3 linked regions of the Xenopus tropicalis genome follow. The protein of the gene in region 3 interacts with the protein of the main gene of each other region in a pairwise test. Links are inferred from orthologs where the notes say so. Each region holds a gene or a part of one and is shown on either strand. Other genes may lie near its edges. The genes, in order: cul3, eef1a2 and abtb1.

Region 1 (3,651 bases), on a different chromosome or scaffold from region 3:
TGTTCACATGCATTTAAAAATGTGAGATACATTACTGTCTAGTGCTAGGAGGGGGGCATAGTGGAGCAGTGGCAGGCAGTCCTAGCCAGGGGGTTAATTTAGGCTAGATTTGTGGAGAATGTCTATTTGTTCTCCGAGATACACCTGAAAGTCTAGCTTGAAGATCAAAAAGACCACAATTTGGGCCAAACAGTTTTATACTCTCCTACACTTATCACCATCCTATAGCAACCTATCAGCGGGTAGCATTTACTGATCATCTTTTTAAAAGCAAGCCTCCCATTGGTTACTGCTCCTGGGCGAGCTTTGTGCCTTTTATTACATATGGCGGTTAGTCTTTTGCTCATCACTCCATTGCACAAGTCCTGAAATGGCATTATATTGGTTTAGTATGCCTGAAAGCATTGGCTTTCCAACTCTAACACGAGACTACAAGGCTGTTTCTTGTGTAGTAGTGGAGTCAGGTGCTGGTGGTCCAGTAGTTGCATAGCAGATAACTGATTCTGTTTTTAGAATACAGGGGTACCTAGCGACAGTCAAAAGTTGTTCATGGCTCTCAACACAAATGTAAAGGCTTGTATACCTTTGTTACAGAAAGTAAGACCTATTGGCAGTAAATGTATGCAATTGCTGAACAGTATAAGCGAGAGAAAGTAATTTGACATTAAGAATTTTGTCTTTTTGGAACTGATTTATTTGGTTTTGCTTTTGTGTTTGCTGCAGGAGATTACAATGTGCGTGGTGTCTGTTGAGAACATGCTAGGTAGCATTGAGCTGAGCGCTGATTTGGGTTTGAAAGCACGGCTGTATGTGGGCTTAGGGTTGCCACCTGTCCTGTTTTGACCCAGACAGCCCAGTTTTTGGAAAGGCTGTCTCCAGGTCAAAACCTCCTTCCTGGTTTTCCAAATTAGGAAAAACGGGGCAGGACTCGCAGGCATTGACAGCCTCATCTCTGTGATGTCACGGCCCACCTCTTCCCCACTCCCATGATGCCACAGTCCCACCTTTTCCCCGCCCCCCACCTGGCGAAGAAAGCCAGCAGAGGTGGCAACCCTACGTGGACCTTAGCTGCTACGCAGTCTGGAGCAGTGCAAACCCTAGCCTATAGCTACTATTTTAAAGATTTAGGGGGTTATCTAATAAAAGGCACCAAGTTTGCCCAGGAGAAGGAAGCATTTATAGATCTTGTTTAAAAGCAAACATCTTATTGGTTGCTGTAGGTTACTGCTCCTGGGCAAACTTAGTGCCTTTTATTACAGGCACTAAGTTTGCCTCTAATACAGGACAAGTGGATTTTGTCCACAGGACAAGTGGATTTTTGCTTTATGCAGCCTCCCAGGTATTGGATTAAAACTGCTAAACCAAGGGATCATTAGTTGAAAAAACCCCTACATCTGAGCAAAAGTTATTCACCCATGCTGATCTTAACAAATAGCTTAACTTTTCATACAAAGCAGTAAAACCCCTCTTGCAGCAGCCCATGTGTGCTCACACAATAATGATTGTGAGAATTTGACAAAAGCAGATACCACACAGGAAATAACAAGGTTGCTTCTAAGGCCAGGGGTGCAACTCTGTGTTTTCTCTGATGGCGAACGTATGCCTACAAGATGGCTCTGGTTTGATTTTGGAAGAATAGAAATATAGTGGTAAAAGGCCATTATTTCTTAACTTTTTTTTCATGAATTGGTTCACAGGTAACATTGTAATCATGCATGTTTCTTTTGCAGCATGCCATTGTCTCTGGCTGGCAGGGTAGAGCCTTACTTATTCCATTGCCATACTGTTATAATCCTTCTGTTGGCTGGAATATTGTTTCCACTTATAGTGCACTTTGTAGGATGGTAGTGCCCACCCAAGCTCAGCATTATTTGCAAATCTAATGGTGGCCATACATGGTCTCTTAATATCCAGCTAATTTGATTGTTTGGACTTAGGAACAAATGTTCAATTTAAAATGGCGGGTATATGGGCCGTCACTGATGCAGTCCCTGATCCAACTGGAAAATCAAACCTACCCGATTGAGACCTGGGCAATTTTAGACCAGATATCGGTTGGGTGGGCCCATCGGTAGTGCCCATACACAGGCAGATAACCTGCCGAATCGGTCATTTAAATCGTCAGTTGAAATATGTTTGTGTATGGCCCCCTTTACTCTTCGTAAACTCCTGAGTTTAGTATGTTCAAATGTTAGTGCTGTGCTGGGAGGTTGTTTTGGGGGGTATAAAAAAAGGTGCAAGAAAAAAAAACTGGGTGCATGTTTGATACTAATACTGAAATTATTCCTTTTGTCGTTTCCTTTTTTCACAGATGACTATGGATGAAAAATATGTGAATAGCATTTGGGATCTCCTAAAGAATGCCATTCAAGAGATTCAGCGTAAAAATAACAGCGGGTTAAGCTTTGAAGAACTTTATAGGAATGCATATACTATGGTGCTCCATAAACATGGGGAGAAGCTGTACACAGGACTGAGAGAAGTTGTAACTGAACATCTCATAAATAAGGTAACTATTCCTATAATTCACAAGTAACTACACACCGGTATCAGAAGTTAAAACTAAACCTGTATGAGATCATTGTTTCTTAGGGCCATAGAACAGCGAAACTTATAAACTGACGGCATTTAAAAAAACGATGTTTATCAGAAATAAAAAGTCTCTTAGGGAGTTGGTGCAGCGCTCTGTTTATTTGCATTGTGGGCTTTGCGGGAGGGCTAAATGTTTGTGCACCTTCAGTTGATTAATGGTGCTGGCCATGACAAGGCACACAGCAGCTAGAAAGATACTAAAAAAATCAAAAAACTTTTGTGCCATTAGTATGACAACCATAGACATACATTACAACTAGTGTACTGTATTGTGTGTTCTTTTTGGTGAAGAGCTGTGCAACTTGTATTGCGTATACCTCAAAATTAAACAAGTGGTTTGAAACTTTACGAGATGGCAATCGTACATTCCCTCTCTCTTTCAACCAACATTTTAGCTCTTAGGTTAAAATGATTTTAATATTGTTTTACAAGATCATTTTAAATATTTAGGAAGGCTAAAATGCATTTGCTGGACTGTGCTGTACCCAAAATGCATTTATCACCTTTAAATTTAATCATTTATTTAGCTCCATCTCCCACAGGACTTGCAGTGTAAGACATTACAGTTCTCACATACACACTGATACACATTTACACATTGTTGCAGTGGTATAAGGGCTCTGGCACACAGGGAGATTAGTTGCCCGCAACAAAACTCCCTGTTCGCGGGCGACTAATCTCCCCGAGTTGCCATCACCTGCCATCCCACCGGCGAAAATGTAAGTCGCTGGTGGGATGGCACACGCGGCGGCGCGATTTCGGCAAATCGCCGAAGTTGCCTCGCGAGGCTTTTTCGGCGATTTCCCGAAATCGCGCCCTAATGAGCTTCAAGTTACTGTATAAAAAAGTAATCCATAATACTCGTGATAGCTGCAATAATTGACATTAAATGCTTCTCATAAGTTTGTGTTCATCTTTCACATGGGTGTTGATGAATGTTAGTCCTTTTTTCATCATTGAACTGCTTTAAGTCAGACATATTGGCTTTTGTGCATGACCTACTCGTTTTAAAATGCTGCCACAGGAGCTCTGGTTGAGATCAGGAATTTAAATAGTCCA
Region 2 (4,418 bases), on a different chromosome or scaffold from region 3:
CTCTCCCAATGTAAGTGGAGTCTTGTTCATGAAGGAAGGGAATAATGAATGAATCTGCCATAGGTTTGGTTTGACTAGGTCTTAGGCCGGTGATGGTTGAGGTATGTAGAGACCATGAATGTAATGGTGGAACGTTATAGAGATAACACAACTAATAGGAGAACATACAAGTGATGTTTGGTGAGTCCAGGGACTGGAAAACCTTCATGTCATCATAACAACACAGGAACAGTCATGTTTGAGAATAGATCCATTCATAAAGTATAAGCCTTTGGTCTTATAGATCCAGAGGATCCCTCAGAAGGGAAACATTCCCTTAGAACACTCAACCTACTGCAATGAGTATGATTATATGAGTATGAATGCTCATATCCAAAGTATTTTCTCAAACGCTAATCAAGCGCTCGACTCTTTCTTGAGACTTTCTATAGTATCTGCCATATCTAGGAAAAAAATCTTTTCAGAACCTAAAGGTGGAACCTTCATTATTCTGATGTCAGAAGATTCCCCATTGTCCTCTGGATTCTTTACGAACAGTGCTTTCCAGCTCATTACATGTAGTGGGCCAGTTATATGTCATATAGTGAAGTCTATGGAGTCTCTGAGCAGACTGGGGGCCATAAAAATTCTTTGACGGCCACATTTGGCCCGTGGGCCTCCAGTCAGACAGCCTTGATCTATAGAAGGATCTTCTAGTAAATAAAGCATCAAAGAGTTATATACATGGTGATCATATCTTCTCTCCTCCATTGACTAGTCCTAAATCAGCCAGTTCTTCTTCATAGCTGAGATTCTACATTCTCTTTATTACCTTAGTGGCCATTTTGTATCTCTCCGTGTTGTTTACTGGAGACCAAGACTCTGGTGGGATATGAGGCCACCAGAATGATAGAGCTAAAGCCATAATTGGGATATTATTGACCAATGGCACAAAGACTAAGAACAGTTTCAGACTAATAGTTGGTGTTGTGGAACTGGCTGGTGATTGGCTAAAGATAAGAGGGTTGTTTTTCAAATTCTGACATAGTGGGACCTGATTGGTCAGATAAAGTTTCTGTTGGCTTCAAGGCAAAATAGAATTTGGGTTATGTAGATGTTTCCAATGCTAAAGCTGTAGATATGCAATCACTATGATCAGCGATTGGTAATCCTTGAATCTGTTATTGTTTTATTGGGTCTTGCTCACCTGTAGTACCTTTGTGCAGGTTCTGACCCACAGTGAGGCCCAGTGTAACTTTCCTGCATTAGGACCGGACCGACCTCCCCTGTCAGTGTCAGGTTTAACCCCGAGTGTTGCACGTGGCTTCCCCCGTGTCCCCCCCCCCGCCCCCCATCTCCATTTAGAAATCTGTGACCGTGAGTCACCAGGTCCAAAAATCCCATGCTCATCAGATCCTATAAAACCCAGTTATAAAAAGATTGGGTCTGTGAGCCAAAAGACAAGTGTAGCCGGCCAAACATGGCCTTCCCATCGAGCTCCTGTGAGCAGGTTATACTAGAACAATGATATATTACCCATAAGGCTTTGTGGCTCATGGGATTTTAATCAATTACACCTCTTTAAATCGACTTTTGTATATAAGGTTTATGTAATCCTGGTCATGATGTCATGCTGGTGATGTCACATCAGGGGGAGTGGCAGCTAATATTTAAATTTGAGTAGAGAGAGCCTCTCATATGGAGCATGGAACAAACCCACTTACTGAGTTCTTGTTCTTAGAACATATAGAAAAGCCTTTCTGGCCTCTGGTACTCCCAGCACCCTGCAGCAGTTATTCATTTCCAGAGCATGCTGGGAACTGTAGTTCATCTATGGGAGCTTATCAATGGGGTGCAGGTTATTGCAGTTCCCAGTTGACTTTCCCCAGTCTGGACAGATTTCCTCTCTTTTTGCCATTGTGATATAAATGGAGTTTGTTCCCTGCAGGGGGCCCACTGATTATGGTTGTTCTTCCCCTTTGATCCATTAGTTCCACCCAATAGCCCCTTCCCTGCATGCACCTCTTCTCTCAGCTGTGTCAGTCACACATTTCCTCCCCTATCTATTGCACCCCTTTCCTTCTCACCATGTTGGTTCTTTCCATTCTCTTGGCCCTAACCCATTCCACTTACCCTTCCCCGAGTACAACTCTATCTTCGCTTTCCCTCTTTTGCCCCCCTTCATCCTATTTTAGTTCCTATTCACCCCCAATGTGCTTCTGGGCCTCTAGATGCCATGGTTCAAGGGATGGAAAGTGGAGAGGAAGGAAGGCAATGCCAATGGAGTTTCCCTGCTTGAGGCTTTGGACACCATCCTTCCCCCAACTCGCCCAACAGACAAACCTCTGCGTCTTCCCCTGCAAGATGTCTATAAAATTGGAGGTAATTAATATTTCTTCTGTATGGCCTCCCCATCTGCATTCTGCCCAGTTGTATTCCCAACCTGCCTTTGTGATTCAGGAATCGGCACAGTTCCAGTGGGTCGTGTAGAGACTGGCATTCTAAAGCCGGGCATGGTGGTGACCTTTGCTCCAGTCAATATCACAACTGAGGTCAAGTCCGTTGAGATGCACCATGAGGCTCTGAGCGAGGCTCTGCCTGGGGACAATGTTGGCTTCAATGTCAAGAACGTGTCAGTAAAGGACATTCGCCGAGGCAACGTTTGTGGGGACAGCAAGAGTGACCCACCCCAGGAAGCTGCTGGTTTCACTTCTCAGGTAAGAAACCGTGTCCCATTTCTCCTACAGATGTCCCTTCTTCTATAGGAGAAACCCTTAGCTACTCAGTTGCCAGCAGGTCTAAAAGTCTTGACCCCACATTGACAAATAAGGGCGCCACACGCTTTTAATGAGGAGAATAGACAAGGACGTAGTGAGAAGTGTTGGGTGATCACCAGAACTAGGGGACAGATGGAGGTCCATGTAGCCTTCCATGGTATTACAATGGTAAGGCTCAGTAAGCTGCAGGTTCAGGCAGGTACAGAAGTGAAAAACCTGTGACGGGATAAGATGGTGGTCCATACAAACGTGTTTACTCCTTATCCTCAGGTGATCATCTTAAACCACCCTGGTCAGATCAGTGCTGGATATTCCCCAGTCATTGACTGCCACACTGCCCACATCGCCTGTAAGTTTGCAGAGCTGAAAGAGAAGATCGATCGCCGGTCCGGCAAGAAGCTTGAGGACAACCCCAAGTCCCTGAAATCTGGAGACGCGGCTATTGTGGAGATGATCCCTGGGAAGCCTATGTGTGTAGAGAGCTTCTCCCAGTACCCACCTCTTGGTAAGTATCTCAAATGCCATGGCACGGGGCGAGATAACGATATTATTCTGTTACAGGTGGACATTGTTGGGTGCCAAGAAGATTGAAAGATTAGTATTTGGGAAAGATATGGAGGTGCATTGGTTGCTGTGCCATTTTTATAAATGTCCACCAAATCTGTTGACCTGAGCCCATAACCACTGCGTCTTGGCTTAAGTGACATTAGGTGCGTGATGAGATGGCACAGGTCATTGTCACCTTGTCACTATTCTCCCTCTAGGGCGCTTTGCAGTGAGAGACATGAGGCAGACTGTGGCCGTGGGAGTCATTAAGAACGTGGAGAAGAAAAGCGGAGGAGCCGGCAAGGTGACCAAGTCCGCACAGAAAGCCCAGAAGGCTGGCAAATGAATTGCCGGTTCCCTCCGTCTGGCACACAAGCCCTGCCCCTCTGGGAAGGTCCGTCCCCTTCTCTTTGAGGTGCACGCCAGCCCATCTGCTTGTAAAAGCCTGTATGTCAACGACTGGATGCTCACCATTAAAGTCCAGTGGAAGTTCTTTAAGAGGAAAAGCATGCTCCTGCTCTGTAATCTTTAGTGTCCATTTTACCAATTAAACTGGTTCAACATTCATAATGTGACGTTGTGGGGTTCTTTCCATGGGTTGTGTGGCTGGTAGAAACTCGGGGGTCCACTGAACCTTGAGAAATAGAAATAGGCAGACTTCCAGCAGCTATAGAACAAAAGGTTGCTTTCACTCAAGACAGAGGAGAAGGAAAGGCATTTTATTTTGCCAATAGTCACATCAGTGCAAGCTAGAATGTTATATTTATTCTGCAGAAAGCTTTACCTTACCTGAGTAAACAGCCATTGAAGCCCCCTCTGTTTGTTTAAGATAGCAGCTGCCATTTTAGCTTGGTCTCAGTAGCTTCCCTGCTGTGGTTCTGGCTGCTGGTAGCTCAGATTACAGCAGAAAGGGGAGGGGGAGAGAGCAGAGATGGGAGGGGAAGAGAGCAGAGAGGGGAGGGGGAGAGAGGAGCAAACTGAGCATGTTCGTGTTGTGCCCTGAAGGATTCATATAACAGTGAGTGTTATCCTTATTGAGTAGAAAACTGCTATTTATTCTGCATGTACTGCAGGGAGTCAGAAAGCCGAGCACAAGTTTGTATCTCGCTGATAAAT
Region 3 (3,651 bases):
AAGAGCTTAGAAGCTAAACACAAAGTGGAGACAGCCAATGGTGGCAGCAGTGATTCCTCATCTTTTGTCTGCTTAGGGAACCTTATATTAATGAAAACAATATGTTTACATTCAGTTGGTCCCTCTTTATCAGAGTTTAAAAATCTGAGAATTCTCGGTTCAAGTCCCTGTGCGTTTCCCCATTCCCTACTGGCCAAATAAACGAGAATTTATAGCAGAATTACTTTTGGAATAAGCCCAATCTAACAACATTTAATGGAGGATTTTAGTTCGGTTTGGTTTTGGGGTGCTGTTACTTACCATTAGCTAAAAGGTAACGGACAAGTTCTTCATGTCCACAAAGACAGGCATAGTACCTTAGGAAGAAAAAGAAAAAGTATAAAAGCAGAAGATAGGAACATTATAAAAACATCGCTGAACAAATTTTTCAGTAAAAAGTATTATCCAATATTTCCAGTTCATAAAAAACCTTTTCATTTTGATAATAAGCTAATAGGGCTAATGCAGGGTTTCATAACCTGGGGACTTGATTTAAGTCTGGGGGCCAATTCACTGAGGCAGTTGGAATGAGGACCCCATCAAGGCCCTGATATGCTCCTTGTCCCAACAGGATTTTTAAATATGCACAATTGACATCTGCTTATTTTCTACAAGGTATTGGCCAGGTAGGCCTAAGGGCCCCATACACAGGCCAATAAGCTGCCAACATGGTCCATTGGAAGCTTTTATTGGCCTGCGTATGGCCACCTTTAGTTTGTTTTGAAGTACATCCAGGTTCCTGCATGCTGTCTGTAAGCTGTGGAGAAGTTGTTCCAATTTGTAACATTAGTGTTTCAGTCCCTCCTCCCCTGCTAGGATTTCAAATGACGCAGAAAGACAAGAACTGTTTTGCAGCTGATTTCAGCATATAAAAATTATATTTATTAATACTTTTTAAAGGAACAGATTACAGGGATAGGTATATTAGGGGTTTCTGTGTTGTGTGTGACTCTTTAACAAATTTGGTTCGGAAGCTGGAGTTTCCCTTTAAACATATCTCTTATGCATAAAGCCATTTAGCAAAGCTGCACATCTTACAAGGGTGTGCTGTCCCATTTATCACGCACATTCAGTTCCACGTCTCTCTGCTCCACAAGGTGTCTGCAGATAAAATAAAACACATAGTTAATGCTGCCCTCTGCAGTATCTGTCTCAGCAATAGAATCGGCTGCCTAGAGCCACTGTCAGAAAGGATGCAGGAGCAGGCAAAGTGGAGGAATGTTCTGCATGTGGCACCCAGGGTGCTAGGTATCTTGTGTCACCAGCTGCCAGATAGCAGCACGCCTGGCTGGGCTCCAAATGGGCAGGGTCAGGGGGGGAGAAAAGTTTGTAAACATAAGAGGAAAAACAATAAAACAGTCTGAAACTACAATCATTTTCACTTCCAACAACACAGGACAATTCCCATGGCCTAGCTGCATCTCATAGCCAGCAATTTACAAAGAAAAGAAATACAGGTATAGGACCTATTATCCAGAATGCTCGGGACCAAGGGTATTCCGGATAAGGGGTTTTTCCGTAATTTGGATCTCCATACCTTAAGTCTACTAAAAATTCAATAAAATATTAATTAAACTCAACAGGATTGTTTTGCATCCAATAAGGATTAATTATATCTTAATTGGGATCAATTACAAGGTACTGTTTTATTATTACAGAGAAAAAGAAAATCAGTTTTAAAATTCTGAATTATTTGATTAAAATGGAGTCTATGGGAGACAGGCTTTCCGTAATTCGGAGCTTTCTGGATAACGGGTTTCCGGATAAGGGATCCCATACCTGTACTATTTTTTTTCCTCTATTTCAGCAAGAGGATGAGCCTCATTTGCCTTTTTTAAAAATAAACATTTTCCCCAATAAAGACAGATTTTTGTTTCAAATGCGTAGGGCATTTCTAACTATGTAATGCATTGTTAATTAACTATTTTTGTACTTTGCATATAAATTTGTTTGCACAATCCTCTTTTCTTGATATGTTGTGCAGGTATGGGATCCCTTATTCAGAAACTTGTTATCCAAAAAGTTCCGAATTACGGACTCCATTTTAAGCAAATAACTAATTTTTAAAAATCCTATTGGGTTTATTTAATATTTAAATGATTTTTAGCAGACTTAAGTTATGGAGATCCAAATTATGAAAAGATCCCTTATCCGGAAAACCCTTGGTCCCGAGCATTCTGGATAACAGGTCCCATACCTGTATATAAAATGTGTATTTGAAATTGCTAAATGGGATTTCTCCTGAGGGCTAGCACCCCACTGAGTTTATACCTGGGTGTCCGGCTCTCCATTTCCAGTTTGGGCATCATTTACAATTATTGGGTACTGCCCTTACTTGTTTAAATGTGTGTGTTTAAATGCCATATACTAGGGCTTGTTTCTTTCTGCCCCACATGTAGCTGGTGGGTACACTATGCCCATGCCATGGGCATCTGATCCTATTATGATGCAGATGCAACTTGTGCATTATTTAAAAACAGTGACTTTCATTGAATGCAAAAATGCTCCGATTCTGGGGGGTAGAGTGCGTTTTGGGGCTGAAATGGCTCCATGCAGAGGTTCCAGCCGCAGGCACATGAAAAGGCTGTTCGGAGTGTAGGGTCTGATTCTCAGCCCCCAATATGTGGCTACCAATGCTCATTATTTCCATGGAGACTACTAAAAGAGAGCTAACTGGTTGCTCGGATGTACTGGAGAATGGCTGCCGGGGAGGAGCAGCGCTGAGGTTGACTGGAGATGTTCTGTATCTGTGACTCTGCATACATTCCTTTATTTATGGTGATGGCACATGGGGAGACAAAGTTTTCCCACCGAAAATAATGTAAAACGGTGGTGGGAAAACATACAAGTTGCTTTCTGAAGTTGCCCTACAAATAGGGTATATTTTACCTTGGAGCCGGTGCTAATGTGGTTAGGGATACAGCTAAGGCCAACGCTCTGTGGTAATTGCATAGAACAAGGTTATAAAGGAGATCACTCATTCCCCCGTTGCTTATTGATTAGTGCGAGACTGCATTAAGCATCTATGGGTGTCTAAAAATGTAGCCCCTGTGACTACAAGTAGGAGACTCGGCAGCCATGCACCTCATCTGAGCTCAAGTACACAGACAGTATAGATCAGTGCTCAGATGGATTCATTTTATCTGTATGAAGCATACAAATCCGGCTGACTACTTTGACACTAAAATAAATGTAACAGTAGTCACCTGTCCTCAGCCTGCCTTCAGCCTGCATCCTCCCAATCCCACAATTCCCTGCACACGTGATGTCAATAAGGAAAGGAACATTACGGTGCAATGCATTGTGGGTTATGTAGTTCCTGCATGCTGTCTGTAAGCTGTGTGAAGTTATTACAATTTGTAACATCAATGTTTTAGTCCCTCCTCCCCGCCAGGGTTTCAAATACTGCAGAAACAGAAGAACTGTTTTGCAGCTGTATTTCAGCATATAAAAATGCTATTTATTCATACTATTTAAAGGAGCAGATTCCACGTTGTGTGGGGCTCTTTAACAAATTTTGGTTTGGGAACCCAAATAAATGGGCAAACGTAACATCAAGAATGTGCTCTGGTCTTTCCATTTGTGATTTAGCTGGCAGAGGCAAATCAGGCT

Evidence for each region.
Region 1: the proteins of abtb1 (region 3) and cul3 interact in binary tests that used the Homo sapiens proteins (3 or more experiments, as listed by UniProt). The two-hybrid records come from large-scale screens. The link is inferred for Xenopus tropicalis from reciprocal best matches to the Homo sapiens genes ABTB1 and CUL3.
Region 2: the proteins of abtb1 (region 3) and eef1a2 interact in binary tests that used the Homo sapiens proteins (3 or more experiments, as listed by UniProt). The two-hybrid records come from large-scale screens. The link is inferred for Xenopus tropicalis from reciprocal best matches to the Homo sapiens genes ABTB1 and EEF1A2.

Annotation. Positions count from the first base shown.
Region 1 is NC_030681.2:123,798,143-123,801,793, forward strand, and holds part of cul3 (cullin-3), read left to right. Parts: intron 1-2,311; coding exon 2,312-2,509; intron 2,510-3,651. UniProt on the Homo sapiens protein: Core component of multiple cullin-RING-based BCR (BTB-CUL3-RBX1) E3 ubiquitin-protein ligase complexes which mediate the ubiquitination and subsequent proteasomal degradation of target proteins.
Region 2 is NC_030686.2:2,005,850-2,010,267, forward strand, and holds the end of eef1a2 (elongation factor Tu, mitochondrial), read left to right. Parts: coding exon 1-10; intron 11-2,210; coding exon 2,211-2,361; intron 2,362-2,439; coding exon 2,440-2,696; intron 2,697-3,026; coding exon 3,027-3,261; intron 3,262-3,520; coding exon 3,521-3,648; 3' UTR 3,649-3,869; downstream 3,870-4,418. UniProt on the Homo sapiens protein: Translation elongation factor that catalyzes the GTP-dependent binding of aminoacyl-tRNA (aa-tRNA) to the A-site of ribosomes during the elongation phase of protein synthesis.
Region 3 is NC_030680.2:134,786,759-134,790,409, reverse strand, and holds part of abtb1 (ankyrin repeat and BTB/POZ domain-containing protein 1), read right to left. Parts: intron 1,141-3,651; coding exon 1,078-1,140; intron 357-1,077; coding exon 301-356; intron 1-300. UniProt on the Homo sapiens protein: May act as a mediator of the PTEN growth-suppressive signaling pathway. May play a role in developmental processes.